4 separate regions of the Mus musculus genome follow, and regions 1, 2 and 3 are each reported to be linked to region 4. The links are microRNA targets in miRTarBase. Many come from high-throughput screens and were not tested one by one. Region 4 holds a microRNA gene; each other region holds the end of a gene's coding sequence.
Evidence for each region. Region 4 holds the annotated microRNA mmu-miR-344d-3p (GAUAUAACCACUGCCAGACUGA, at 3,265-3,286, shown strand). A microRNA usually pairs through its seed, bases 2 to 8, with sites in the 3' UTR of a target mRNA and lowers its output. Matches are read on the target gene's strand: a 7mer-m8 pairs with bases 2 to 8, a 7mer-A1 pairs with bases 2 to 7 and ends in A, and an 8mer does both.

Region 1: the mRNA of Synpr is a reported target of mmu-miR-344d-3p. Seed matches in the 3' UTR shown: 8mer at 5,193-5,200.
Region 2: miRTarBase lists Usp6nl as a target of mmu-miR-344d-3p. Seed matches in the 3' UTR shown: 7mer-A1 at 6,314-6,320.
Region 3: miRTarBase lists Sort1 as a target of mmu-miR-344d-3p. Seed matches in the 3' UTR shown: 7mer-A1 at 6,465-6,471.

What each region holds. Positions count from the first base shown.
Region 1 is chr14:13,611,411-13,619,413 of GRCm38, reverse strand. Synpr (synaptoporin) reads right to left here. Exons shown (of 5, transcript NM_001163032.1): 5 at 3,945-5,690. The coding sequence ends at 5,433. Among named protein-coding and RNA genes, the nearest start is that of Sntn, 55 kb to the left of the region's middle.
Region 2 is chr2:6,437,049-6,444,342 of GRCm38, forward strand. It overlaps Usp6nl (USP6 N-terminal like), which reads left to right. Exons shown (of 15, transcript NM_001080548.1): 15 at 3,313-6,772. The coding sequence ends at 4,694. Gm13388 (a long non-coding RNA gene) reads right to left here and starts at 556. Exons shown (of 4, transcript XR_373976.3): 1 at 1-556.
Region 3 is chr3:108,354,429-108,362,431 of GRCm38, forward strand. It overlaps Sort1 (sortilin 1), which reads left to right. Exons shown (of 20, transcript NM_019972.3): 18 at 1,803-1,909; 19 at 2,149-2,260; 20 at 2,801-7,091. The coding sequence ends at 2,815. Among named protein-coding and RNA genes, the nearest start is that of Mybphl, 6.5 kb to the right of the region's middle.
Region 4 is chr7:61,678,410-61,686,412 of GRCm38, reverse strand. It overlaps Mir344d-1 (microRNA 344d-1), which reads left to right and starts at 3,221; the gene lies at 3,221-3,289. Mir344d-2 (microRNA 344d-2) reads left to right here and starts at 1,062; the gene lies at 1,062-1,141.

The sequences.
Region 1 (8,003 bases), not on the chromosome of region 4:
CAAGCAAGCTGCTTTTGTCCCAAGCTCCAGAGCCTGACTTCAGAGACCCCCACATTTGGACATTGCATACTGTGTGCCAGGAGTTGCTCTAGTTCCTTTGAATGGTTTACCTTTCATCCTACTATCAATCTGAGTTTGTACTTAGTCTCTGTATAGACATAGGGCAACTGAAAGAATAAGAAGCTAAATTTCTTCCCGGGTACATTGGCTGACCTCCTACTGCCCCCAGGTAGTCCCCTTAGCATTATCTTTCTTACACTTACAAACTGCAGGTGCTTGTAGACTGTGGCTATGGAAGAGTCACAGGGCTTTGGAGAAATAACTGGGCAAGAAAGGGGAGACAGGAAAATGTTGGGGTGAGAAGTCTAACTTAGGTGATCTGTTCACCAGAAACCCTTTCCTACCTGTGTTCTTCGACCATTCAAGGAAGCAGGTCCGTTAACATATTGAAACAATCAATAAACAGTGAACCTAGGAATCGACATTCAATCTTGGTGATCCCAGGCACACCAACAGTTCTGATTATTCCTCATTTTTCTCCCTCCATAACGGCTAAAAGCTACCTTAGTAAAATCCCTGTTTGATTAAGGCAGTATTTTTTATTAGGTATTTTCCTCATTTACATTTCCAATGCTATCCCAAAAGTCCCCCATACCCTCCCCCCAGCCCCCCTATCTACCCACTCCCACTTTTTGGCCCTGGTGTTCCCCTGTACTGGGGCATATAAAGTTTGCAAGTCCAATGGGCCTCTCTTTCCAGTGATGGCCGATTAGGCCATCTTTTGATACATATACAGCTAGAGTCAAGAGCTCCGGGCTACTGGCTAGGTCATAATGTTGTTCCCCCTACAGGGTTGCAATTCCCTTTAGCTCCTTGGGTATTTTCTCTAGCTCCTCCGTTGGGGGCCCTGTGATCCATCCAATAGCTGACTGTGAGCATCCACTTATGGGTTTGCTAGGCCCCGGGAGAGTCTCACTAGAGACAGCTATATCTGGGTCCTTTCAGCAAAATCCTGCTAGTGTATGCAATGGTGTCAGCATTTGGAGGATGATTATGGGATGGATCCCTGGATATGGCAGTCTCTAGATGGTCTATCCTTTTGTCTCAGCTCCAAACTTTGTCTCTGTAACTCCTTCCATGGATGTTTTGTTCCCAATTCTAAGAAGGGACAAAGTGTCCACACTTTGGTCTTCGATCTTCTTGAGTTTCATGTGTTTTGCAAATTGTATCTTATATCTTGGGTATTCTAAGTTTCTGGGCTAATATCCACTTATCAGTGAGTACATATCATTCAAGTTCTTTTGTGATTGGCTTACCTCACTCAGGATAATGCCCTCCAGGTACATCCATTTGCCTAGGAATTTCATAAATTCATTCTTTTTAATAGCTGAGTAGTACTCCGTTGTGTAAATGTATCACATTTTCTGTATCCATTCCTCTGCCGAGGGGCATCTGGGTACTTTCCAGCTTCTAGCTATTATAAATAAGGCTGCTATGAACATAGTGGAGCATGTTTCTTTCTTACTAGTTGGAACATCTTCTGGATATATGCCCAGGAGAGGTATTGCGGGATCCTCCGGTAGTACCATGTCCAATTTTCTGAGAAAACGCCAGACTGATTTCCAGAGTGGTTGTACAAGCTTGCAATCCCACCAACAGTGGAGAAGTGTTTCTCTTTCTCCACATCCTCGCCAGCATCTGCTGTCACCTGAATTTTTGATCTTAGCCATTCTGACTGGTGTGAGGTGGAATCTCAGGGTTGTTTTGATTTGCATTTCCCTGATGATTAAGGATGCTGAACATTTTTTCAGGTGTTTCTCAGTCATTCAGTATTCCTCAAGTGAGAATTCTTTGTTTAGCTCTGAGCCCCATTTTTTAATGGGGTTATTTGATTTTCTGGATCCACCTTCTTGACTTCTTTATATATATTGGATATTAGTCCTCTATCTGATTTACGATAGGTAAAGATCCTTTCCCAATCTGTTGGTGGCCTTTTTGTCTTATTGACGGTGTCTTTTGCCTTACAGAAGCTTTGCAGTTTCATGAAGTTCCATTTGTCTCTTGGTCTTACAGCACAAGCCATTGCTGTTCTATTCAGGAATTTTTCCCCTGTGCCAATATCTTCGAGGCTTTTCCCCACTTTCTCCTTTATAAGTTTCCGTGTCTCTGGTTTTATGTGGAGCTCCTTGATCCACTTAGATTTGACCTTAGTACAAGGAGATAGGAATGGATCAATTCGCATTCTTCTACATGATAACCACCAGTTGTGCCAGCACCACTTATTGAAAATGCTGTCTTTTTTCCACTGGATGGTTTTAGCTCCCTTGTCAAAAATCAAGTGACCATAGGTGTGTGGGTTCATTTCTGGGTCTTCAATTCTATTCCATTGGTCTACTTTTCTGTCGTTATACCAGTATCATGCCATTTTTATCACAATTGCTCTGTAGTAAAGCTTTAGGTCAGACATGGTGATTCCACCAGAGGTTCTTTTATCCTTGAGAAGAGGTTTTGCTATCCTCGATTTTTTGTTATTCCAGATGAATTTGCAGATTGCCCTTTCTAATTCGTTGAAGAATTGAGTTGGAATTTTGATGGGAATTGCATTGAATCTGTAGATTGCTTTTGGCAAGATAGCCATTTTTACAATGTTGATCCTGCCAATCCATGAGCATGGCAGATCTTTCCATCCTCTGAGATCTTTTTTAATTTCTTTCTTCAGAGACTTGAAGTTTTTATCATACAGATCTTTCACTTCCTTAGTTAGAGTCATGCCGAGGTGACAGCAGATGCTGGCGTGCACATGGACAAAGAGGAACACTCATCCATTGTTGGTTGGATTGCAAGCCGGTATAACCACTCTGGAAATCAGTCTCATGGTTCCTCAAAAAATTGGATATAGTATTACTTGAGAACCCATCTATACCATTTTTGGACATACACCCAAAAGATGCTTCAACATATAACAAAGACACATGCTCTACTATGTTCATAGCAACCTTATTTATAATAGCCAGAAAATGGAAAGAACGCAGATGTCCTTCTACAGGGGGGAATGGATACAGAAAATGTGGTACATTTATAAAATGGAGTACTACTTAGCTATTTAAAACAATGACTTCATGAAATTCTCAAGCAAATGGATGGAACTAGAAAATATCCTGAGTGAGGCAACTCAGTCACAAAAATACATGCATGGTATGCATTCACTGACAAGTGGCCCAAAACCTGGCAATACCCAAGATAACAATTCACAGACCACATGAAGCTCAAGATGAATGAAGATCAAAGGCTTCACTCCTTAGAAGGGTTAACAAAATACTCACAGGAGCAAATACAGAGACAAAGTGCAGAGCAGATACATGAAGGAAAGGCCATTCAGAGACTGCCCCACCTGGGGATCCATCCCATATACAGCCAAAAAACACAGATACTATTGTAGATGCCAAGAAGTGCACTGATAGGAGCCTGATATAGCTTTGTCCTGAGAGATTTTGCCAGAGCCTGATATATACAGAGGTGGATGCTCTCAACTAGCCAATGGATTGGGCATGGGTTCCCCAATGGAGGAGTTAGAGAAAGGACTGAACGAGCTGAAGGAATTTACAACTCCATAGGAAGAACAACAATATCAACCAAACAGAGCTTCCAGGGTCTAAACCACCAACCAAGGAGTACACATGGAGGGACCCTTGGCTCCAGACATATATGTAGCAGAGGATGGCCTTGTTGGGTATCAATGAAAGGAGTGTCCCTTGGTCCTGTGAAGGGTCGATGCCCCAGTATAGCGGATGCAAGGGCAGGAGGCAGGAGTGGGAGGGTTGATGGGGGCACACACTCATAGAGACAGGAGGAGAGGGCATCTGAGAATGCAAATAAAATATGCACAAAAAGGTGGAAATAAAAAAAGTGTGAGAGGGAGGGGCAGGAGATAGGGGCATAGATGCTAGAAGAATTGCATTTAACCTTTATTCTCTCATGATTAAAGCCAACAGGGCCCTATAGTTATGATTCTTCATTGTTCAGTCAGTTTGTATGCAATAACTTTATTGAGGTCAAATAGATATCACAGTACAGGATTTAATAAACAATAGGATTTAAGAAACTAGTTACAGATAGTATTTAAGACAGCCTATTTTGTGCTAAACTGCTTTCAACATCACAGATCACACATACAATTTGCACATCAGTTACAACTTTATCTAGAAGCACAGATGTTTAGCTTGCCCTTCCTGTTGGGCATTCTTATTTCAATTGAGTTAAAATGAAGAAACGAAGATTGGTTTCTTCTTAATAATGAATATGTTCTGTGGAGAGTTTCATGAGAACCCTCTTTGGGAATAGAGTGACATAGAGAAGCCATTATTAATCTATGTATAAGCAAATCGAAATTAGTAATTCTGTTAAGCTATAACATGAGATTTCTAAAATTAGAATGAACAACATATTAGCTTCAAAAATAAACAAAACTAAACAAACGTTCATTTGGTCACATAAAACAGCATAGCTCATTTCTTAATACTACTTAAACTATGGTGTCTAAATCTGCCTCTCTGGATGCAAAGAAAACGCCACTCTACAAGCACAGGGTCATTGGACGTTATCAGTCATGGCTCGTAAGATAAGATACACGAAACTGCATAGAAAGTTACAAGAATGTAAATATTTACTTAAATAAATCAGAGAAGTGTTGAGCAGTCACCTTACAGAACACTATTGACAAATAGGGAAAGCTCCCAGACTTTAGCTCTAATGCATTCAGAACTTGGGTAAAGTCAGAGTGACAAACTTGCAAAGTCTAGAAAGACATGCATACATGTCTTTAAATACTTGCTTAACAAACTCATGATGCAAACTGAAATGTCTCCAGAAATACAGCCAAACATTCTGTGAGAAAATACTTATTCATGCATGAAATCATATAAACATTGTTTTATCAAGTGAAAACAATAGAGAATAATTATCAAAACAGAGTTACAGTTCTAAAAGGCCTAAACTAAAAAATAGTAATGCATGCATGATGTGATTCATCAAATAGTCATCTAGAAATCAGTAAAATATTTGTTGCATCAAAACACATACGAAAACTGTATACTATTTAAGGTAATCTATGCACATTACATACTAGAGACTTTAAGCTACAAATGCTTCTACTATTTTTACCACAATACAAAACGACCATAAAAGTGTCTGTGTATATAACAAGATACTTTCTAATTACCCATCTGTGATGAATAATTTATCTCCTTATGACATCTCATCTCTAAGTACCATTTATCACCACCCAGGCCTTTGTGTCTTAATGAGGACTACAGATCTCTGATTTACATTCAACATTCTCTACATTAATAATTGATTGAAACTCTTAAAAATTCTTCTGCTACTGAAATGGAGGGTGGTGATGCTATCACCAGAAGAATTTGGGTGATACTCCGTTATATCTGATTGTTAAAGGAAGTGGGACCACTAGGCTGTTGGCCAAACTCATCGGAAGTTGGCCCCAGATTCGCCTGCTGGCTGTACCCACCACTTGACCCATAACTCTCTTGGTTGTAGCGTCCTTGATTGTAGCTGCTGGAGTGCTTCTCCATGGGGTCTGAAAGGTATCTCTGTCCAGAGGAATGCCAGCCAGTCTCCTTGAAAACAAACCAAATGTTTCCAGCCCAGAGGATAAAATTCAAAAACCCGAAGACCTGAAAGAGAATTGGAGCAAGTGGTTAAAAGCCTGGACAGGGATTTTAGATGAGCCTGCTCACAGGGATTCTTCACAGTGCCATGGGTGAGCCTTGGCTTTAATTTTGAAGTCTGTTTAATTTTTTGCCTCGAAACCACTGTTTTGACTTAGGATTCCTAAACATTGTCTATATGCCAGCCATTACATGAAGGGTATTGATTCCCTTAGTCTAAGAGACCAGTGTTATTATATATTATATGCCTATATTAAAATGTAGAAACAAAATTCAGCAAGAAAAATAACCTGGTTCAAAGTCACATGTCTTTGTAAGTACCAGATCTGTGATTCAGCTCTATTCTGTCTGCTCCAAAGACCAAGTCCCCACCAAAGCCATTCCTATCTTCACAAATCTGCCATTCTTAATTTGTATAAGGTAATAGTTAAGTCATGTATAATTGAGTATTTTCAGTTTAATAATGGTGCATTAGGTGCTTCTTGTCCAAATGAGTTGGTTCACAAAAGCACGAAACATGCAATGGTACAGGTGATAGAAGAGCACATGCATGTTTGTATACACCATACCAGAGTTTCTAAGTGACTGTGCCCATGCCTCTCACCTTCAGGAGTAAATGGTAAGAGCATGTTATGAATGGAGTACAGGATATAGAGAAGAGTGAAGCATTTTTTTAAAAATAGGTGTGAGGCTCTCCTATGCAAATTTTTATCTTTTTATCATGAACCTTGCTGGTAAATCACTGGACCCGTGTTGCTTCCTCAGGGTCAGCCGTTTGGTGAAGGCAGAACTGTTCATGATTGCAATGGGCTTATGTAGGAATTACATAATATATAGTTTATTCATTAGTCATTGGTTGACTTGGTAAGAGACACTCTATTTTAACAACCCTATGGGGAAAAGGCAACAACAGCATGACACAAATTGGTGACATTAGAGTATAGTACTCCAGCATGACTTTGTCTAGTTAAAATGGCTTCTTGGTTAGTCTAGTGTGTCATCTGTCTTTCTCTCTTCTCTCTCTCTCTCTCTCTCTCTCTCTCTCTGTGTGTGTGTGTGTGTGTGTGTGTGTGTGTGTGTGTGTGTTTGTAATGTTGATATCCCCAACATGCAGGGAATGAAGGCCTTAGATAAAAGGTATTACTAAAGTATTCCAATGTTTTAACACCAGGTATATCACAGCACCACCTGATAGCAAGCTGAATGACAGGGGAGTGAAGGTAATATTTCTGTCTTGGGGGGGGGTAGTTGAGAGTATTCAAGGGGATGTGTATAAAGCTGGACACATTAGTTAGCACTAAATGATAAATCAGACTTTGAATCATGTTCTGTAGTAGTCCATGGATTGTGTTTAGTTGACTGTCACCATTGCATAAATGGAAGGAGTCTTTGGCTGTGAGGACATATTCTTGAGAAATAACAACAGAGTAGACTCCTAATTGATCTCACTGAAGACTGATTCTCAAGACCACTTTCTCTCTGCCTTCCTCCCTTTTCCTCCCATTTTGTTTTCAATTGCAAATTCTTGTTTTCTTTAACATTAACCTAAGCCTTAGGTTGCTTGGCAGGGATGATATGAAACATAAGTAAATCATCTGTAATAGTTGAGTAATCATAGCAAATTAGTTAATCCCCAAAAACCTTGTACACGGAGTATTTATATGTACAGTCACTAGGATATTTTCCATTTAGAAAAATATCTTGGTTTAATTCCATATTTGTAAGTCTATTCGAAAATATGGTTCAAAAATTATAAAATGGTCTCTTCTGATATAAAGTGATGACTCTGCCTAGAAATGTGCTTCTATTTGTTTGCTTGTCTTGGTCATTCTCCATGTCCTTCCTACTACTCAGTTTTTTATAAGGGCCCAACTTAAAATTAAGAACAGAGAACATCCTCTGGAGATGTGCAAGGAATACTGTTTTCCTGTCACAATCATTATGGAATTATCAAAAATCCCATTGACTGGTACATTTTGTGACATATGAGTCTTTGAATCCTGCTACTTGTTCCACTTGAAATGGGGAGAGATTTTATTTAAGATTAGATGTGAGGACATCAGAAAGATGGTATAAGCCTGTGTATAACATGAGAAAGAACTGAGAGGTAAAATGTGGTTATCCATAAAGATGATAATCAAGTTATCTGTAGTAAAGCTGGAAAAGCAAAAGTAGAAACTATGGACAGAGTGTAGTTATATTTAGTAATGATTGGACACAAACTGAGATATTGTAGTCTCTTTCTTCTATTGTTTCTTAAATACTATAGAATCCTTGAAGACCATGCTAGGTCTGTGCCTATAGCTTTTTCAAGTAGTA
Region 2 (7,294 bases), not on the chromosome of region 4:
AAGAAAATCACCTTTGCTTGGAAATCATGTAGATTTGTCTCCTTAATTTCATTATAACAGAGGTCAGATTGCTTGACAGAGAAGCTGTGGGTTTGGTCTGGCTGCTGGAACTGAAAGGCCTTTGAGCCATCGTTTAGAACCTGCTTCTGAGAGGGGAGCTCTGCTAGATATAAAGAACGCATGCACTGCGAGTGTGGTTGCCCTGCTGAGATTCATGGGAGCACTACAGTTGTAGTGTAGCCCAACAGTCAGTCAGCAAGTGTTTCTGGAAGCCGTCTGCCGATGCCACCGTCATAGCCTGTGCTGGTCTGGATGAGCCTGACTCCTGTAGGCTCATAGATTTGGATGCTTGGTCCCCAGTTAATGGAACTGTTTGAGAAGGATTAAAAGCTGTGGCCTTAATCCTGTCACTTAGAGTGGGCTTTGAGGTTTCAAAAGCTCATGCCAGGCCCAGTCACTGTCTCTCTGTCTGCTGTCTGCACCTTGCTTACCTTGTTTCCACCATGATGATAATGAACTGACACTGATAATGAACTGTAAGCAAAGCCCCAGTAAATGCTTTCTCTTATAAGAGTGGCTTTGGTGGTGCTGTCTCGTCACAGCAATAGAAGAGTAACTAAGACGCAAGCCATGCCTTAAGTATCCCTTAGCCTGGGCACACACAAGCATAGCTTTCTGGCCCAGACACTGAGAGGCCCCTCCCTTGCTGCGAAGGACTCTGGGCTAGCTTGCTTCACTGCTTTTAACATTTAGAGAAATTGATTTTTAAGCACTTATAATCTTAGGAGGCACTTTTCTTATACTCCTGTCTGCTGCCTCCTTATTGAAAAATTGTACTGGAGCAAAAAGGCCATGACCTCTAAAGGTTTTGTGCATTTCATATATTTGCCATGTGCCTTCTGCACACAGGGACCTAATGAGGGCTTGCCATTTAGCAGATATTATATGTTCTATGTTCTATAGTAGATAATTTTGTGGATGTTTTTACTCAGTGTTCCCCACTGTCAGTGTGGGCATGTGCCGTTGCTCTGAAGGAATACGAAAGGGGAAGCCACTGGGCAGTGGGAAGACTTCTTTTGGATTGCCTGAAATTGTGGTTGCAGAGGCTGTAAACTGTCATGTGGGTGCTGGGAATCGAATGCCCGCCCTCTGGAAGAACAGCCAGTGATCTTAACTGCTGAGCCTCTCTCCAGTCTTATCCCCTTCAACCTTACACAGTGCGCAGGGGGATCCACCGGGCTGGAGAGGCGGCTAAGCTGGTGAAGGCTAGACTCACACCAAAAGTCGGTTTTCCTTCCATATACTAATCTACTTACTTAAATGTAAAGTGTGAGGCAAAAACTTTTCTTGTTCTTTATACTGAAAATAAACTTTCCTGCACCTGTCTAGAGTTTCAGCCTAAATCTTTCTCTTGCTTGCAGTTGGATGTCACGTCAATGTGTGTACAAATCTAGTGTCTCAGGCCTTCACCACAGTAGACTGTGGGAAGCGGGTGGGTGCTGGCGTCAGCTTTGGGTTGAGCTCTGTGTCTGCTCCGTGCTGGCCGTGAACCCTTGAGCAACTTCATCTCTGCCTCAGTTTCCTCCCCTAGGAGATCATGAAGTCATGTGCCTGTTGTCAGTGTTGTGTCACAGTGTTGACTGATACACAGGGATTAATTACTTAATGAATGTCAACAATTGTGACTGTTGTCATTGTTGCTTATTATTACAATTTAAGTCTACACCACTATTTAAAGTAACTGCTATGCTATACCTCAGATTATAACTCATCTGTTGAAAAGTTTCTAGAGTTTTTCAGTTAACTCAGGACAAACTACCCAGTCCTCTGTGTTGTGTTTTTGGCCTCCTCATGGGGCCTGTCTGCCTTGTTCAGAGAGAGGGTCTTGTTCTTAAGGGCTCTCCTTCCTGTTCTGCGCCACCTACTCCTGATTTTTAATTGTTTTTACCACTTTAGTTTTCCTGTTTTTTGTTTTGTTTTGTTTGGATTGGCTGGGACTGGATTGGGTTGGAATGCTGGTGATGGGAACCAGGACCTGCCTTCCACATGCTACTCTGCTGCATGTATTTATTGTCTGTGTCATGTAGGTTCCAAGATCACACTTGGGCGCTTAGCTTGGCAGCCTTCTGGGCCCAGCACAACAAAACATTGAATCATTATTTTAAGATCCTGAAGAAATGGATCTATAGCTGCTATGTACCAACTAAAACTTCCTATAAAGAAACAAGCAGTATGAGACTTCCAAGAGTAGTAAGCATAGTGCCTCCACCCCTAGAAAAGAAAGGAAAAGAAGTAACAAGACCGTGGTGAGTGGGGCCATGAGAAAACCCCACCTCCTGCTCACAGCACCTCCTGCAGGTCACAGCCAGGGACCTTATACTCAAGATGTTGTTTTATAATAACAGTTAAAATGCTTTTCAGTTTTTGCAAATGAAATGTTTAAATTTTTCATAGTAATCTGGTAATGTTGTGATAGAGCATTTAAAATACTTTCTGCTAACTGGTCATTTTATTACACCTCCCTCCAACTGCTCACAATTCTCTTAGTTATTTAGAATATAAAAGTAAGTGGGCTGGAGAGATGGCTCTGTCAGGTCCACTGCTGCTTAGGAAGGACTCCAAGCTGACAACCATCTGTAGCCCATAGGGCATCTAGTGTTGTCTTCAGTATCCCAGGCCCCAGGCATGCCCATGGTGCACTCGCACGCACGCACACCAGCCAGGCACACTCACAACTCTTTTTAATTAAATAAATTACCTAATATGGTTTTCATCATTTTTAAGTTTCTTTTTCTGTCTTTACATTTTTAAGTAGGGTATTGTTAGGGTGTCTGTTTTCAGTTAGAGAGTATTTTTCTCTTAGTAAGTTATACTGTGGAAATACCCAAGATAATAACAGTCTGGGGAGGACTTGTGGACCAGAGTAAGATATCAAATGACCTTCAACTTTGACAGATCTGCTTCAAGGTAAAAGCAAAGACTTTACTGATTTCCAAACTGCTTTAGTTGAGATGTGTTAAAATGAAAGCAACGTAATGTTAATTCTCAGCCACCGACCAGCTCTGTTTCCTGAGAGCATCACCTCTGCTTAGAAATACAAGAATTGGGTGTTAGGCAGTTGGTGGCCCTCTCCTGTGAGCTGTCCCCATCTGCACAGGGCCTACTTAGGCTCTGACGTTAGCTCTGTCTTGGTGTCCTTTTCTCTACAATTCGTTTCCTGTTAATGCTGACATTTGGCAGTATGAAAGTGTGTGTTTCTACACACATAAGATAATCTACAGTCGTTCACATGTTTGTTGTCCTTCATTCTAGGTAAGGAGGATGAATATCCAAAGAAACCCTTGGGGCAGCTTCCACCTGAGTCTGCTTGTGTTAATCACTTGAGCAACGGACAAAGAAGTGTTGGCCGGCCCAGCCCCAAAACAAGCAGCAGGAGAGAAGATGGATCGCCTCGCAAGAACCATGAGCACTCTCCTGTCCATCACAGTAGAAACGGCACACCAGAAAGAGCCGGCCAGTCACGGCGGAAGTCCGTGGATGAGGGGAGTAAAAATCTCAAGCATGAGGCAGAGTCTCAGAGAAAACCTTCACCGGGTATGCAGGACAGTTCCAGACACTATAACCATGCAGCTGCTAACCAAAATAGCAATGCAATTTCAAACGTCAGGAAGGAATTTATGCCCAAGTGGAGAAAACCATCAGATGCCTCAGCTATTGAAAGAACTACTAAATATGCCGTCGAAGGCAAAAGTCACTCAGCTCTTCCCGCTCTTCCCGTCGCCATCCCAGGCTCTGCTGAGACCCGATTGCCAAACTCAAGGCAGAAGATGAAGGCTTTGGATGGGGGTGAAGGGAAGCGGGGTTCTAACGCTTCCCAGTATGACAACGTGCCTGGGGGTGAGAGTGAGCATGGGGCATCTGCGGAAGAGGGACCAGAGCGGACTCACCCTCACAGTCCAAGGAAGCACCCGGAGCCAAGTCCCAGTCCTCCAAAAGTACCCAACAAGTTTACGTTTAAAGTGCAGCCTCCCAGCCATGTACGATACCCACCCCAGCTACCAGAGGAGGACCACAGAGCTGCATATCCACCCTCCTACAGCAACCCCCCTGTCTACCATGGAAATTCTCCAAAACACGTCCCTACTGCTCACAGTGGTTTTGTGTCTACACAGATCAGCCCCAGGCCTCAAATTAACCCTTCCAGGAGACCTTACGGTTCCTCTCTTTCAGTTGACACTTCTCCAGAGAAAGCCTACAGCCGCCCAACTCCTGTTGTTCTGCCCTCTAGTCGAATTGAAGTCCTTCCCATTGACATGGGTGCCAGGGGCTACGGCAGTTCGGGGTCACCAAAGAATGGACAGTTCATCCTTCCTCCGGTGGACTATTTGCCAGAGAACAGAAAATGGTCAGAAGTTAGTTACACATACAGACCGGAGATGCATGGCCAATCATGGACTCGGGATGCTCACCGTAGCCACTTAAGCAATTTACCAAACTATGCAGCCTTTCAGCACATACCGTTTCAGGCCCATGGCCTTCCAGAAGTGTCTGTAGACAGTCCAGTGAGGTATAAGATGTCTGCAGCTGTGGAAGATGCCAGTCCTCCTGGGTATCCATATGCAGGGCCCTCACCTTCCGCACATCACTACAGAAATGGAGAGGGACTTTCTGTGCAGGAATCAGTGTTGCTGTGAGCGTGTGGCTGTATTCACTGACAAGAGAATAGAAACAATATGCCCACATTGCTATGTTTATAATTGCCAGAGCAGTATTTTTTATATTGTAAACAGCGTGCGCAGCTCAGTGTGTGTCAGTGATAAGAGTGTGGGAAGGCTTCATCCTCTGCAGAGGCTGCTGAAGAAGAGTGGGTCAGCTGCATCCTGGCTGAACCTTTAATAGGGGACCCTGGGGACCCAGCAGTAGCACGAGGGCTGCACACACAGGGCGGCTCTCTGTGCTGGTCCCTTCGTAGCTCCCCAGACCCGCTCTGTTCCGTTGCTGTTAGAACAGTAGACTACTGACCGCTATAGAGCAGATACTCTGAGGGCCGACCCTCGCCTTTTCATAGACAGACGAGGCAACTGCATATAGGTTTTGTCTTTAAAACCACCTTTAATCTAGATACATAGACTAACAGTGGATTTTTTTTAACCCTTTATCTTTCTGCCCACCCTGCCCAAACATATTTTAACCCAGGTTCTAAACTGAAACTGACTAGAGATGAATCCAGCGCCTGACAGAATGTCATTCTCCTTCAGTTGCTGCCATTTTATCTCCTCCTGAAAGCTAAAGGCTCACCACTTGATGGTGCCTAAAGTGGGTCGGTTACCCGAGTGAGCGGCTGCACAGTGCTCACTGAGTCCCCTCATCTCCAGCAGTCTTGGTGCTGCTGTGCCCCGGGCTCTGGTCTGGCCGGGTGTGAGGGAAGTCAGACCTTGCAGGGCCCCAGGCCGCAGAAGATTGCATTTCACAGTCGTGGGGAAGCAGCTCTAACCATAAGGAAGGCTGCTTCTCACCCTGCTTCCCCTTCTCACAGGCTTTCTCTGGCACTCGGTCTTCACAGAGCACAGTGGGTGGATACTGCTAACACTTACTGGGCCCCGGTCGAAATTGTGAAAAATACCCTAATGATTAATAAGGAATTTTAATCTAGAATTTTGATCTTTGTAAAAAAAGGGGAAAAAGGGTAGTTTGTTTCATACTTTTGGAATTTTTTTTCAGTGAAAAATAACTGAAGTTCATGGTTTTTAAAAAAGGTGATGATTCCTTTTATGCTATCACACACTACTGTCACCGAGACACTGACAAAGTGCTGGGTTCTCCAAGAGCGATGGCGGCGTCTGTGTAGGTGCTCGCCCACCGTTACCCTCTTCTTGTATCTGAATATCAGAAACTAGAAAGTCCAACAGTGACACTCCCCCTGCTCCAAGGTGGGGACTTAAGTTTGTGAGGTACAAGAATATGTTTTCATGAAAGTAACATTGTTTATCTAGCAAACGTGACAATATTTTTATGTATATAATGATTCTAATCTAAGTTAATTAATGTGGTAATGATGTTATTAAGTGTGGAAGCAAATGCAGTATATTAAAGGTGAACACCACACTGAAACTCCCAACTCCTGACAGAATAACCAGGCTCTTGATTTAGATCATGTGGAAGGTGAGATATAAATGTATATAGACATGTAGCTGAGGATATTAATTTCAGTCTTAAAGTGTGACTTGTAAGGAGCCAAGCTGTACAGTTTAGTTCATGATGGCAGCTCTCTGCCTCTTCAGAAAGTATATATCATAGTGGTAAATAATGTAGATTATATATATACATATATATATATATATATGCTATATATGGACACACTATTTTCTTATGTCATCTATGGCATTTTTTTATCTGTATACTTTTTGATGTGGTTGATTGTTTTTAACATGCTAAAAGTAATCCGTGTATTTTGTTCTGTGTCTTCTGTGTGCAGCTTCCCCGTGGCAAGTGTGTCCTGGCCTTGCAGGGCCTGGCAGATGCACCACGGGCTCACCAGCAGCGTTTACCCACGCTGTGCTTCTCTGCTTGCATTTCCAGGGAGACCGTGTTTTGAACCGCATCACCTTTCCTTGGCTTAAGCATTCGTTACTAATGGCAGGAAAGTCTTCCCTTCTATAAGATATATATCTCTGTTAGCTTCAAGTAGGAAATTTTAATTTAAAATTATTTTGCCACTATAAAATTTTATTTTAAATTTATTTTTAAATAAAAGAAATGATAAGAGAAATAATATTGACAAAGTGATTCAAAATCTATTTATAGAAAGGCTTGCTGGGGACATTCCAGGCAGATGAGCAGCCATGCCCCATAACGGCGTGCCCACAGTGGCCGGGCCATGGCTTAGGCTTCCCTCATGGTCACTTTGCCCATTACGTCAGAAGTAAGTGTCTGGGTGTGGTAGTATAAGTTTCTTAAGGAATTGTCCTGCTGACCTGTATCTAACTAATGAACTTAAGGGTCTGGGTTTTTTTTTCTTTTGTTTGTTTGTTCATTTTGTTCATTTGTTTGTTTATTTTGTTTTTAATTATCAAGTCTCACCCCAGACCACTTAAATCCTATCTTTGGTAAAACGCAGGTATCAGAGAAGCATATTTCCCTTGTGTCTCTTAATACTGTCATCTTGAAACTCTCTCTAGGAAAAATGCCCAAGTTGTCTTCTGTTTCTATTGTGGGATGTTTAAAAATGGTTTGTTGTTGTTGTTTTGGTTTCTGAAGACAGTATTGCTATATATCCCAGTCTGACCTTACTGTG
Region 3 (8,003 bases), not on the chromosome of region 4:
ACTGGTCTGTGTTTGGGAGAAAATGGTATTATGTAAAGTTATAAAAGTTTTAGCAGCATGGAGTTAAAGAGTTTCTGAGGCCCAGAGTCATTCAGAAGAAAAGATTTAAGAGTTGTGCTCAGTGAGTGACAGAGTAGGGCACTGTGGCTCAGTAGGTAGAGCATTTGCCTAGCATACGTAAGGCCCTGGCTTCAATCCTTAGTAACACGTGGGCAACCATGTACACCTGCAACTCAAACACTTGGGAGCTGAGGCAGGAGGATCAGAACATGGCTACACAGCTAGTTTAAAGTCAGCCTGGGACACATGAGACACCATCTCCAAAACAAACAATTGGGGAGAGAGAGATGACTCGGCATTCTGTCCCTGCACAGGACCCCAGTGTGGATTAGAGCATCCATGCCAGGCCACTCACAACTGCAGCTCCCAAGGATGTAACACTGTCTTCTGGATACTGTGGGCACTGCACTCGAAGGTGCACACGCACTCATGCACACTTGACACACACACAACTTACAAACAAAAATAAATATTTAAAAACAAAAGAACTTCTAGAAAAATATAACAGAAGAATAAGACCATAAAGGGCCATGGACTGGAGATTCGCACACACGCAGGAGAGCCCTGCACTGTAGGTAGTGACTTTTGTGCTGATGCATGCCAAGTGTGCTAGAACAAAAGCTGAGCTATGATCATAATGGACCGTCTCACGTCAAATCATAGGAAGAGTGGTGCCCATCTGTCTGGTGGAGCTCTACAGATGAGGTAACTGTTAGGGAGACCTCCTCATTAAGCATCGCAGGGCCAGCAATGACTTGGGAGATAACCTGAGGGCCCATCTTCCTAATGCCTGACAGTCCCAGCACCTCATCCCTGCTGTTCAAAGGGAGGAGACACTGACAGGGGAGGGACCCTGAAGGCAATGAGGGAAGAGTGTGTGGGTGTGTGTATTGGTAAGGGGAGGCAGTTCCCCCTTCTCTGCACCCCTGCCCTGGACTGCTGGTGGCTGTCCTCAGAGTGTTTGTGTGTGTATGATTGCACAGGACTCCCGCCCACAGGGACACAGCTTGTCCCAGAATCCAGCTCCGCCTCCTCTTGGATACACTGAAAACACACACTTCCTATCTCCTACCCAGAAGCAGGTAGGTTACACGAAAACAATGATCTGATAAGGCTTATCTGTAAAAACATGCCAAAAGGTAGTAACAACTGAGATCTTCGTGTCATATAGTGGCCTTCCTGGAACAGCATCGGCACACGTCTTCAAAGAGGGTAGTCTAGTAATAGACCCATTCAACACCCCATTCTCTCAGCCTCCTCCTGCTCCACCCATAACCTCTAGGAGTTGTAAATGAGGGACAGGGAACAGGTGACCAAAGCGATCTTCTAGGCATGTCCAACCTGTCGCCCCAGGCCTACATACAACCAAGAATAGCTATAAAGGCGGACTGACACAAATTTGTACACTTATTTAAAACATGAATTCTTCATGCGATTTTTTTTCCCGTAACTCAATTGAGCAGTTCTCAAGCATGAACTTTATAGATGACAGCATCACGTTGCAATGTGAAAAGGTTGGACATGCCTGCTTTGAGGCAGTGGCCAAGGCTTCCACTGTGACTTTGACATTGAAGGCCCTGCACTACAGCTTCCAGGCTGGTGTTCAGATTCCCCTATGCTGGTGTGCTAGCCCCGTCATCTGGGGGGTGGAGATGTACCCTGGCTAAGTGTGTTGGACCATATGAGCGCAACCATAGACTCTGCACGCCTAACTCCTGTTCTGTTTGTTTTAATTTATCAAGAATTCCAAGTCAAATTCTGTCCCTATTATCCTGGCCATCGTGGGACTGATGCTTGTCACAGTCGTAGCAGGAGTCCTCATTGTGAAGAAATATGTCTGTGGCGGAAGGTAAGAAGTGCGGAAGTGGGTCAGAGCTACCAAATCCAAACCAAAAGCCACCCCAGCCCATGTGGTCCAGTTTTCTTGGCGGACACTAAGGAGTTAATGATAACCCTGAAGATCAGGTCTAAATTGTGTATTGTCTATCTGCATGCAGTGCGGCCATGAGTGTGGAAAACTGAGGAAATTCCATACTATAACAAATGCTCCCTCTTCAGCTCGGGAACTAAGCAGGGTCCCCTCTACAGGTTCCTGGTGCACCGGTACTCGGTGCTACAGCAGCACGCAGAGGCTGACGGCGTAGAGGCTTTGGATTCAACCTCCCACGCTAAAAGCGGATATCACGACGACTCAGATGAGGTGAGGCGCTTTCTTCTTGAGGAATTATCCAAATTTTTTAAGTCTTTTTATTTTTTAATCTGTTTGTTTTTTGAGACAGGGTTTGTCTAACCTTGGCTGTCTTAGGACGAGCTCTAGGTCTAGTAGATCAAGCTGCCCTCGAACTCACCAAGGCCTGTGTCTGCCTCTCAAGTGCTGGGAATAAAGTCTTAAAAAGAGTTCCTTTTATACTTCTGATCAAGACAGTCTCCAGAAAGATGGCGCAGGGATTAAAAGTACTTGCCACTCTGGCAACCCAGGTTTCATTCTCTGCGAAGACATGATGGCTCACCACTCACTAGAACTCTGGTTCCAGGGAATCCAATGCCCTCTTCTGGCCTCCCATACATATATAATGAAAATAAGTAAATCTATTTTAAGTTAAAAAAAAATACACCTGGGACCAAGTTATGCATGAGCCCAAAGCAGCACTGGAGTGACAAGAGGCGCAGAGCAAGCAGGTGATTGCTTTCAAACTAGCTTCCTAACTTGTCAATAACGCGCACGTGTCTTTCTTTTCAGGACCTCCTGGAATAGCTCTTCAGAGGAGCTGGGACTGCGTGTGCGTGGAGCCACAGTACCTCCTACACTCCCTGAGGCTCCGACTTGGGGAAATAAATTTCCCACCTCGTCGGCCCCAGCTCTGTTTCTGCCACTCCTGTCCAAGCCCAAAGGACCTACACTAAAGAAAGCAGGATGGGGGTGGGGGACCCCGACTGACCTCACAGTTGGCTCTGAGGAGAGGGGGGAAATTTTAAATTCTTTAACATTTTTGTTTCAATTTCTGTCTTTTGTAAGACTGTGGGCTTTAGGCTTCTCTTGGTTTGTTTTGTGCATTAAGGGACATAACTTGGGACTCAAAGGGATTGTTTCGCTGACCCCGCTCTTGTGTGTTCCCTCTGGTGCCCACCCCAGGGCATCTGCCAACTCCAGCATCAACTCAACTCCCACCGCATACCTGGTGCTGTCCCTGGGCTCTGCTGGTCATGTGAGGCAGCCTCGGAGAAGGAAGCAGAGGGTGTAATGACTGGCACACCTGGACAGCTTTTCTCCATCCGCAGACAGCCCTGTTCAGAGAGTACCGAGCACCAGCCCTGTGCGGCTTCCTCATCCCCACCTCACCCCCAACCACTACTGTAGGGCACAATGACTTTTCTTTTCCCGTTTAATTAGGCAATACCCTTGTTAATTGCCCGTTGGCAACTAACTTAATCATGTGCTTCCAACACACTAAATAGGGAAAACTTACAGGGCAATATTTTTAACTTGTGGCAAGAGGGAGGCAGAGAATTGACTAGCTCTGACACCTATTAAAGACAAAACTGGCTGCTTCTGAGCTCTTTCAGGCTGTACTTTGTGCTGTGCCAGTGGCTCTGCCCAGGCTCCGCCATCCCTTTACTGGAGTTCATTGGTCAGTGCACAGTGCAGCCACAGGACTGACCGTCGTAGGCTTCCATTTTTCCCATCACCCACTGTAAAGGCTCAGAGTTGAACTACCACTGTGGCTGCTTATTGCTTCCTCCTAAGTTGCTACTGTTCATAGAACTGGGACTGGGAATGTTTTCAGGTTGATGGACTTTTTCAAGCTCAAAGTTATGTTCCCAGACTATCCTCACCCTTCCCCTAGTTTTGCTGAGTTATTTGTTGTCCAGAACCTGTTGGCTAACCCCACTGAAGGCACATTTCTAGATGATGCCGTGTGTGGTCAATACATTGCTTTCATGTTTTAAATTTAAGGAAAAATTTTATCTGATATTTTTCCAAATTAAATAAGTTAGAGAATGCAATCGGCGGATGTGGGGGCGGCCATCTGGTAGTGGAAAGCTGTAGCGATCTGAGTACAGCTTAGATGTTAGCTGGAGAGGAAGATGGTGTGGCAGGTCTCTGGTCTCCCTACCCCTGCTGTGCTGATCACAGTCCCTCCCAGTTACCACTAGGACATTCTCTAGTAGATCCATTTTGCTGTCACTTTATTCTATGGCTAGAAAGTCAGTGGAAAGTAAATGTGCCAAACTCACTTGTCAGAACACACGAGCAGATGGCAGAGTCCTCCTCCCCAGCAGGAACAAACGGCATCAGGGAAAGAGGGGGAGGAAGAGGAGGGAGAAGAAGAGGAGGGAGAGCCAAAGAGATGTCAACTGCAGCTCAGTGAGTCATGGAACGTCAGTTAGAAAACGAAGTTAGGGTCGTTTCTGGGAAGAGAATCAATACCTGTTAGAGCCAGAATGCTCCAAGTCTTTTAGCTTGTTCATTTTGTAATGATTCTAAAATAATTCCAAAGATATAGCAGCTCATAAATTTATCAAAAGTTCTGTCCACCCTCACCTCCTGCCAAGGGGAGAGATCTATTTCTACTACACGCTGTCTCTCCCAGTACATCCCCGGATTGGTGTGGGTAGATAGGCCAACGTATGGTGATCTCCCCTAGTGTCTGGATGGACTTAATGCTCATCCCTGACCAGAGACTAGGGTGCTCTGCCTCTAATGGTTTCTGGGATTTCTGTAGAGCTTGGCAGTTTCTGGCTCATTTCTCTTGAGCACCGCACTATTCTTGCCATAGAGAGAGCCCAGGAGCCAACGCTGAATCAGGTGCCCGGAGTCTTTGGAGCTCTGAAACTCTCGGCTATGCAAGACCCCGGGTCCTTGCAGCAGAGCTTCTCATGGGTGGCTTGCTGGGGCCGGGCCGAGGACTCCTCAGAGGCGTTTCCTGCAGAGCCATTATTTTGACGCCTTTTTGTTTTCTTTTTGAAAAACAAAATATTATTCCCCTGCTTCATGGCTGAAATAAAAGGTGATGGTAACTGGGGGCACCCCCTCTCCCTGGGATAGCCACTGTCGGGGAGCACAGGACCAGCCTCTGGATCAGTCCCTCTCTGCCCCTTCACTTCTGTCTCTAGCTCACTGGCTCTGTGGGCTTGGGCTCTGCCCCTACAACGGCTCTCAGAAGCATTCACACGCACAGATGTGCAACCTCAGCCAGAAGTTGAAGCTCTTTAAGCCATTTTATTTATTTTGTTTTTTACAGAATTTGTGCTTTGGTTTGCCCTGCGCAGCCTTGGAGCATCATAAGCCTGGCTGGTGGGCATAGTTATTCTCAGCATTGTGGTGGCAAATGACGTTGGTTCTAGAGACTTAGAGACTTGGGCAATAGGATTTAACACTGCTAGGTAGCTCAGACATATCAGAAAATCCATAGTGGCCTGAGTTGTAAATCCAAAACATATTTTTGTTGGCTTGGGACGTTAGGGGCTTGGGGTTTTCCTGAGGCAAGAGGTCATGGCTGAATGGGCCTGTGCCGTGAATTGAATGGAACACTACTTTGAGGCCCTTGGAGAGTGACAGCAGCTATAGGGTGGACTCAGGAGCTGTCAGTCTTAACAGCTGAGCCTTGGACCCCACTGCCTCTGAGTCTACATTCTGGCAGGCAGTCCCATGCTCTGGGCCTTACCTCTAGTCCCCTGCCTGCTCACACCTGGTCCCCTAGCCTTTTCTCTTGGGCAGTGTAGTAGTATGGGCGAGCCACCCTCAGCTCTTTTATTGGCCGGGGCTATAAACCATGGCTGGGCATAACTATTCCGAACTGTCCCCCCATCAGGATACAAGATGCTGAGAGGGCTGCAGGGCCATTCCATCAAGCCCCAGGGTGAAAGGGCTGGCATGGCATCGCTCATTTTATTGCTCTGCAGGTAAACTGTATAGGTATAGAGTCCTCCAGTGCTCTGAAGAGCCCTGCCTCTATGCACGCCCCCGGCAAAGGGCTTGTCAGTAGGTCCCCCTCAACTCCATACTCAACAGGGATGCACAGGATTGCTAACAGAGGGCGGGGCACACCTCAGTTTTCTATCACCTTCCTACCAGAGGGGAAAGTAACCTGAACTTTAATGTCTTTTGGAACAAAACCAAAGTTTAAGATTTGCCATATGACGACGTGGTGACCGGGAAGTCCAGAGTCGGCAAGCAGGTGCCAGATTTTCTATCCCATCAGCCAGTGCTTCACCAGGTGCAGGCTGCTATGGGCTTGTGGAAACCACAGGTACAGGTGGGATTTCATGGGTCCATGTGTTACAAAAATAAGAATTGGAGCATTAACTTGAAATTGTCTTCAAGGACTTGCTATGTGCACTTCTTCACACCGGTACATTCTCTGCATCTGTTTATATGAAATAACACAAGCTAATCTGTACCTTTATATATATGTGTGTGTACATATATACATGTATAAACTGTATAGTGTACATGTTAATGATTTATCAGTATGCCCCGAATTCCTAGTGCAGTTCTCATTCTCCGCATGCCCTCAGCTGTGGTCAGGTGACTTCCTGTCCCCTGGCAGCTCTGCTGAGTCCCTGTGTTTGAGCCTCCAGGGAGAAGGGTTTGGGCTGCATTCTTCTTATCCCCATGCACAGAAACGCTCAGGGTCCCCACGTGCCTGTTGTCCTCCCCTCTAGTCCTTTGTTCCCTTTCTGAGCATGTGGCCCCTCCCCCGGCTGTGAGGGGCAGCCGCCTTCCTAGGAAAGTGTAATGCAGGATCAAGACCACCACTGCATGTGTACTGAAAACTGCAGACTTCTGCCCGCTTGGGACAGAACATTGCATGTGAGGTGGGATTATCAAGTTTCAAAGACCTGTGTCAACCATACAGCAAAGGCAGACCCCATAACGACGTCCCACAAAATGGAAATAAAACGCAAAATCTCTTTAGCATTGTGTAAATAAATCTGGATGTGTTTAACTTTGTACTGGTAATTTTCTGTATATTTGCAATATTTGGGTTAGAAATAAACAGCCTGGACTTTGGTACCTAACCTACTAAGATGAGTAAGCTACAGTTTTGTATTGTTTTGTTTTTTAGTGAGTGTTTCTAGCTTTCTGCCTTCAAAAAGCAAAATCTAGCAACGAAAGAAGCATCAACTTGAAAGTCAACACTGAGCCTTTCTAGCTTGGAGGGAGGGAGGCAGTTTATGAGGAAATGGATGCTTGTCTGTAAGTTTCTAACTTTTGTTGTCTTTTCTTTTTCTTGATCTTTATGCTGTGGAGGTCTGCCTGCCTGCCTGCCTGCCTCCCTCCCTCCCTCCCTCCCTCCCTCCCTCCCTCCCTCCGTGGAAACCTAACAGCACACTGTACACTTTCTCCAGTGTCTGTTTCTGCACGTCTGGACACAACAGCAGATGGCTACACTCTGGAGTTGTGTGCTCCCTGCAGCTAGTTTGTCAAATGAACACTGGAAGGCCGTAGCTCTACGTGTATCTCTCCTTCCCTTGCTCCTCTCGCAGACCTGCGTGCTCAGCCCCCATGTCACCAGAAGGAGCTCCCTGCCTTCAGCCATTAGCTATCCCACTGTGCCCTGGGATAGCATTTTGAACCAATATTTCCATTCGGTGTTCCCACATCGCAGTCTGGAGATGGCGGGGCACAGGCCTTGTTATCCAGCAGGAGTTTTTACCCCGAGGATCGATCCAATCGGGTCTAAGGGATTCTAGCACATCTCAAGACTCCTTCACCAGAATCAGGCTGGCCTAGAACTTGTTGTGTAGCTCAGGCTGCCCCAAAATTGATGGTCATCCTTCTACTTCCACCTTCAGAGTGAGTGTCACTATGTCCAGCTCTGAATTGAACTTTATGATGGGCAAACTGAGGAGTCTGTAGTTTTAAATTTGATTCCTTAAAATTCTCTACATGTGCAGTACAAGTGTGTGTTTGTGGCGGGGGGGGGCGGCGGGGGGGG
Region 4 (8,003 bases):
AAGGAATTGAAACCCCATAGGAAGAACAACAATATCAACCAACCAAACTGCTCCAGAGCTCCCAGGTACTAAACCACCCACCAAAGAGTATACATGTAGGGACCCATGGCTCATATGTAGCAAAGGATGGTCTTGTCAGGCATCAATAGGGGAAGAATACCTTGGCCCTGAAAAGACTCAATGCCTCAGTATATGGGAATGTAAATGCAGGGAGGTGGATTTTTGATGGGTGGGTGGGAGAACACCCTCATAGAAACAGAGGGGTGGAGTATTGGAGAAGGGGTTACTGTGTGAAAAAAGGGGAATGGAGGATAACCAATAAGTTAAGAAAATAGCCTATGAAAATAAAAAAAAATAGAATAGAAAATCCACACATTAAAAGTTCCACATATACCATATTTGAGTGTCAATAACCACAGCATATTAACACAGTTTTGAAAATTGAGTTGAATGAAATATTTTTCAGATTTATGTGACACTGCAGCATTTCATACAAACTGAGTACAGGTGGAGTAGGGCATGGGCAGAATACTAAATTTAGTATTAAAATAACTCTTTGTGGAAGCATGAAAATATAATATAAACATTAAATTATCAAGGAACAGCCATGCACTGAGCATACAACAGATAATTTGGATAAGGAAACAAAGGCACATCACAATGGGTGAGCAGGCAGCAAAAAATTGTAAGATAGACAGTCAGGTGAAAAGGAAACTGAGAATCTCTGGCAAATAACTTAAAGCTAGGAAGAAGGAGCCAGAAATAGGAAGATTTCCAAAGTCACAGTGACTTTTTTTTATGTTTGTCAGTGTAGAATGAATATGTTTAAAACATTTTTTACCCTCTGCTTTTAATAGCCCTGCTTCCTTCCAGGAAGCCAGAGAGGAGCCAGTGAGGTATGAATCAGCACTGACGGAGAGCTCCAAGTATTCAGCAGGACTTGATGTCCATGTCTACATATGGGATTTCTCTCCTGATTGGATCTGATTCAATTCTCTATTTGAATACACATTCTCAATCAATCAGAAGCAAGGAGAGCAAATAAATTTGTCTGCCAGGGAAGATTTCATTAGTCTGGTTGCTGGCTATATTCCAGGACTTATCTGGTCCTGGATATAACCACTGCCAGACTGAATGGTGCTAAAGAGAAGGGAGAGTGCTTGTGTCACTGTCAGCAGACAGCGCCAGTGAAATCATCAAAGCCTGTGCTTGTTTATTTCAGAGCCTCAATGCACTGATTGCTTTGGTCGTTTTGTATTGTAGCTGTCGCTCTATGGGAGATTCGGAGAATCTCTATGGGAGATTTGGAGAATGACACACTTTTCTCAGTCATGCTGGAATATGTCTTCTGCAAAGAAGATACAAGATTCAATCTCAGCTTGTGACAGAGACTAAGAAAAATTTTCACATTTTCACAAACTTAGGTTAGACACTGTGAGAAGTGCTGTGGAAGCAAATGCCTGCTACATACCACCATGGAGTCTCTGAAAAATCTTGATGTAACTAATAGACACAGATACTACCTTACTCAGGAACTAAGCATCCTTAGGGCAGTGATTCTGGCAGCAGGTTTTTATTTATGGTATGAATATTCAACAATTGAAACATTGTTTATAGTGTTATTTTATATTTAATATACTAGAATCTTGAGCATGTATGTTCTTCCAAGCCACTTCATTACTAACTATATGTTCAAGAGAGTCATGGGTCCTTTAGGGAAATCAATATATCATCCATCTCCTGAAGATCTCCACCTTGGTATTATATACACTATAGAAATGAAATGAGCACAGAAATTTTCATGGGGAACTTGTACTAGTGACTCCTTTGAGACCTATATTTTTTTTCTGTTATTTCGAATCTGTCTTAAGAGTCCAGGTCACTGTTGTATATCCTTGACATTTCTGAAATGTATTACTTTTTTTTTCAGATAATCTTTACAGTAGTAAACGAATTACAATTGTATGTACATCAAAATAATCTCTGTCCTCTTCATGAGCACACTTTAATTTTTACTTCACTTTACATATGGTTTTGATTATCTACAGTCCATGAACAATGTTTTCAACTCTAGATTACACTTAATACTCTCTCTCTATATATATATAAGAGACAGTTGCCGGGTGGGGGAAAAAAGAGACAGTTGTTTATTTTGTTATTTTGTTATTGCTCTTGTCCTTTACTAGATTTTCTTGGCTGATATTCTTCCACATCAGTTCTTTGCTATATAACAGCTCTTTAGAATCCGGAACCCTTTACAGAAATCAATAGATCATGTCCAGATCATCTCCAGCTGGTTAAAACGCAATATAAAGGAAGAAATGGATACAGTAATTTTCATTGTGATCTTGTACTCGTAGATATCTTGAGTCCTAAGATTTCTAATTATTTTCATTCTGATTTTAGAGAGCAGGCCTCTGTTATATATTCTGGATATTCATGAACCAGTATTATTTTGAATAATATATTCCTGACAGTAGAAATCACATTAATCTCTATATGCATCAGAAAATGGCATGTCTTCTTTCAAACTACACATTATATTTTCCTACACACAATGTTTTGTTTTACATAATCACAGCATATAAATATTGTTTTCAACACTGAATTTCATTTAATATTGTTCAGATTTTTTGAGACACTTGAGCATTTCATGAAAATTGAGTATTTAGGAAGCATAGTATGGGCAGAATATTGAAGTTAGGATTCCAAATCCTCTCTGAGAATACACTATTAAACATTATTGTACTAGGAAAGGTTACAATCAGAACATAAAACAGAAGCAATAGGGGAAGAAGATACAGGCACATCACGATTATTCAGCAGGCAGCAAAATTTCAAGATAATAAACAGTCAGAAAGGCTTGAAAAAAGCAGGGGAACTCCCACAAAGAGCTTAAATTTAGGCAGATGAATCCAAAAATCAGAACATACTTAACGTTCCACTATCTTGTATTTCTGTTGGTTTGTGTAGAGAGAAGGTTTGTCTGCCATCCACTATCCATTTTTCTGCTTTCTTTGGGGAAACCAGGGTGATGTGCTTGAGCTATGAATCAGCAGCATGGATGGAGATCTCCAAGGTTACAGCAGCATTTGATGTTCATGCCTAGAAATGAGATCTCTCTCCTGATTGGGTCTGATATCATTCTCTATTTGAATACACATTCTCCATCAATCAGAAGCAAGGAGAGCAAATAAATTTGTCTGCAGGGGAAGATTTCATCAGTCAGGCTGCTGGCTATACACCAGGACTTATCTGGTCCTGGATATAACCACTGCCAGACTGAAAGGTGCTAAAGAGAAGGGAGAGTGTTGTTACTGTCAGCAGACAGAGCCAGTGGAAATCTTCAAAGCCTGTGCTTGTTTATTTCAGAGTCTCCATGCACTGTTTGCTATGGTCCTTGTTTTGTATAGTAGCTGTCAGTCTATGCAAAATTCAGATTTGGAGATTGACTTACTTTTCTCAGTCGTGCTAGGATATGTCTTCTGCAAAGAAGATACAAGATCCAAGCTTCAGCTTGTGTCAGAGACTAGGAATTTTTGGAAATTTTTATATTCTTAAATTAGCCACTGTGAAGACTGCTATGGCAGCAAATGTCCTCAACATGCCAACTTAGATTCTAAGTAAACTCAGATGTAACTAACCAGCAAACATACTACCATTCCTCGAATCCAAGCAGTATTGGGTCTGTGCTGCTAGTAGCATGTTACCTGTAATGGCCACAGACCTTCAACAAGACAACTATTGTTTGTTTTCTTATTATTCTTATCCTTTACTAGATTCTCTAGGATGTTTTTCTTCCAGGTCAATTCTTTGCTACCTCAGAGCTCGATAAAATCATAAGCCCTTTACAGAAATCAATAGATCATGTCCAGATCATCTCCAACTGGATAAAACATGACATACAGGAAGAAATGGATGCAGTATTTTTATTGTTATCTTGTACTTGTGGATAACTCGAGTCCTAAGTTTTCATGTTATTTTAATTCTGTGTTTAGAGGTCAGGTCTCTGTCATATAGTGTAGATATTCATGAAACTTTATTATTTTGATTTATACATTCATGACAATAAAAAAATCACATTAATCTGTACATGCATTAAAAATGCCATGGTATTTTTCAAAACACATATTTATATTTGTACACACAATGTTTTGTTTTGGATAATCAAAGCATTAAAACTTGTTTTCAACACTGAATTTCTATTAATATTTTTCAGGTTTTTGAAACACTCCAGTGTTTCTTGCAAACTGAATACTTGGGGAGCAGGGTATGGGCTGAATATTGAACGTTGTATTCCAAAACCTCTTTGAAGATACCCTATAAAACATTATTGTACTGGGAAAATCTAAAACATGAATATACAACAGAAGCAATTTCCAAGGGAGATGCAGGCACATCAATATTTAGCAGGCCACACAAAATTTGCAAGATAATAATCGCAGTCAGAAAGGCCTTAAAAGAAGCAGAAGAACCTTGGCAAAGAGCTTACATCTAAGCAGAAGCAGCCAGAAATCAGAACACCCTTAACATTCCACTAACTTGTATTTCTGTTGGTTGTGTAGAGAGAAGAATGTAAAACCAGCTTTTTTCTCCATCCATTTTCGGTTTTTCTAATTCCTTTTGAGAATCCATGGTGAAAGTGTTGAGGTATGAATCAGCAGGACTGATGGAGATCTCCAGTGTTGCAGCAGGATTGGATGCCCATGTCTACATATGAGATCTCTCTCCTGATTGGATCTGATTTCATTCTCCATTTGAATACACATTCTCCATCAATCAGAGGCAAAGAGAACAAATAAATTTGTCTGCAGGGGAAGATTTCATCAGTTAGGCTGCTGGCTATACTCCAGGACTTACCTTGTCCTGGATATAACCACTGCCAGACTGAAAGGTGCTAAAGAGAAGGGAGAGTGTTGTCACTGTCAGCAGACAGAGCCAGTGAAAATCTTCAAAGCCTGTGGTTGTTTATTTCAGAGCTTCCATGCACTGATTGCTTAGCTCTATGTTTCGTATAGTAGCTGTCAACCTATGGGAAATTCAGGTATCTGATTTGAAGTGTGACTTACTTTTCTCAGTCATGAACGTTTGTTTCTTCTGCAAAGAAGATACAATATTCAAGCTTCAGCTTATGACAGAGTCTAGGGGATGTCTGACATCTTCAGATCTTTTGTTCAGGTCCTGTGAGAATTCCTGTGGCAGCAAATATCCTCAACTAACCACCATGAAACCTCTGAAAAATCTGACGGTAGATCATACATTATCCAGAATCAAATTACTCTTCAGACAGTGATGATGGTTACCTGTTGGCATTAAAGGCAAGAAGCATTTATAGATATAACCACAATTTATACTGTTATTATTGTTTTAATTTACTAGATTGTCTAGGTGGTCATTTTTCCAAGTCAATTTTTTGCTAAATAACAGTTCAGGGGATCTTGACCCCTTATGGAAATCACTATATTATACTTTGATTATCCACACCTTGGTATTACAGTATGTAAAAGAAGAAAGTGGGCAGTTATATTCCCCGTGACCTTTTACTAGTGGTTACCTCTTAGACCTATGATTTTCTGCTTATTTGTATTCTGTCTTTAAAGACCTATTCTTTGTGATATAATCTGGACATTTATGAAACTGATCTATTGTGGTGAAGATATTCCTGACAGTCTTAAACACCTTATAACTATATATATATATCAGAAAATATAATGGCACCTTTACAACCACATCACGTTGATTGTTCCAAATACACCATGCTCTTTTGTGAATATTCACATCATATAAATATTGTTTTCAGCACTAAATTCCACCAAATATTGTGGAATTGTATGAGACACTCCAGTATTTCATGCAAACTGAGTATGCTTGGAGAATTGCATGGGCAGAACATGGCACTATAATTCTAATAACTCTATTATTATTACAGTATTAGATAATATTTTCTAGGATATTCTATAACCATAGTTTACAACAGAAGCAATTGGTGAAGAAGACACAGAAATCCTGCTATTAGTCAGAGGCAGCAAAATTTGCATAATAAAAGTAACAGTCTTTTTGGTTCAAAAAGAAACAGAACCTATTTGGTAACTGGCTTGAATCTAGGCAAAAGAAGCCAGAAATAAGAACAGCTCCAAGATTTCATTGACTTGTTTTTCTTTTGGTCACTGTAGATAGAAGAAGTTAAAAACAGTTTTTCTGCCATTCACTTTCAAATTTTCTACTTCCATAGGGAAACTCAGGGAGGAAGGGGGTTGGAAATGAATCAGCAGCACTGATGGAGACCTCCAATATTACAGCAGGTTTTGATGTCCGTGCCTAGGTTTGAGATCTCTCTCCTGATTGGATCTGTTTCCATTCTCAATTTGAATGTTCATTCTCAATCAGTTAGAAGAAGTAGAGCAAATAAATTTGTCTGCAAGGGTAGATTTTACCAGTCAGGCTGCTGTCTATATTCTAGGACTTTTCCCCCCTTTTATTGGCTTTTTTCTTATTTACATTTTAAATATTATCCCCATTCCAGTTCTCCACTTCAGAAACCACCAATCCCATTTCCCCTCCCCTGACTCTCTGGGGGTGATCCCTCATGTAACCACCCACCCACTGTCAACTTTACACCCTGGCATTTCCCTATACTGGAGCATCTAACTCCCTCACACCCTAGTTCTGCTCCTCTTACTGATGTACAACAAGGCTATCCTCTGCCACATATACATTCACAGCCCTGGGTCCCTACATGTGTATTCTTTGATTGGTGGTCCAGTCCCCTGTTGCTTTGGGGGTATGAGCTAGCTGACACTGTTGCTCCCCCCATGGGGTTGCAAATGACTACAGCTCCTTCATTCCATTCTGCCTCTCCTCCATTAAGGATCTTCTCTTGGTCCAACGGTTAGCTGCAAGCATCCACCTCTGTATTTGTCAGGCTCTGGGAAAGCTGCTCAGGAGATAGCCATATTAGGTTCAAGTCAGAAAGTACTTTCCAGCAACTACAATAATATAAAGGTTTGGGATGGATCCCCGAATGTGGCAGTCTCTGGACTGCCTTTCCTTCGGTCTCTACTCTACACTTTGTCTCCATATATCCACCAGTGAGTATTTTGTTTCCCCTTCTAAGAAGCAATGAAAAATTCACACTTTTGTCTTCCTTCATCTTGATCTTCATATGGTATGTGAATTGTATCTTGGGTCTTCCAAAATATTGGTCTAGTATCCACCCAAAACACAGAATAGCGAAATCTACTCTCAACAATAAAAGAACTTCTGGGGGAATCACTACCCCTGATTTCCAGCTGTATTAAAGAGCAATAGTGATAAAATCTGCATGGTATCGGTACAGTAACATGCAAGTAGAACAGTGAAATAGAAATGAATACCCAGAAATGAATTGACACACCTTTGGTCACTTGATCTTTGAAAAAGGAGCTAAAACCATCCAGGTGAAAAAAGACATCATTTTCAACAAATGGTGCTGGCAGCCAACATGTAGAAGAATGCAAATTGACCCATTCTTTTCTCCCAGCACAAAGCTCAAGTTCAAGTAGATCCAGGACCTTCATATAAAACCAAATACACTGAATCTCATAGAAGAAAAAGTGAGTAAAGTCTCAACCAAAGAAAAACTTCCTATATTTTCTCTATAATCAAGAATTGATAAATGGGACCTTATAAAATTACAAAGATTCTGTATGGCAAAGGGCACTGTCAATAGACAAAATGGCAACAAACAGATTGGTTAAAGATCTTTACCAATCCTACATCTTATATCGAGCTAATATTCAATACACACAATGAATTCCAAGAATTTATCTGGTCATAGATATAACCAATTCCAGAATGAATGGTGCTAAAGAGAAGGGAGAGTGCTGTGTCACTGTCAGCAGACAGAGCCAATGGAAAGCTACAAAGACAGTGCATTTTTATTTCAGAGTTTCCATGCTCTGATTCCTTGACTCCCTATTTTGTATGCTAACTGTCACAATATGGGGAAATCAGGTGCCTGCATT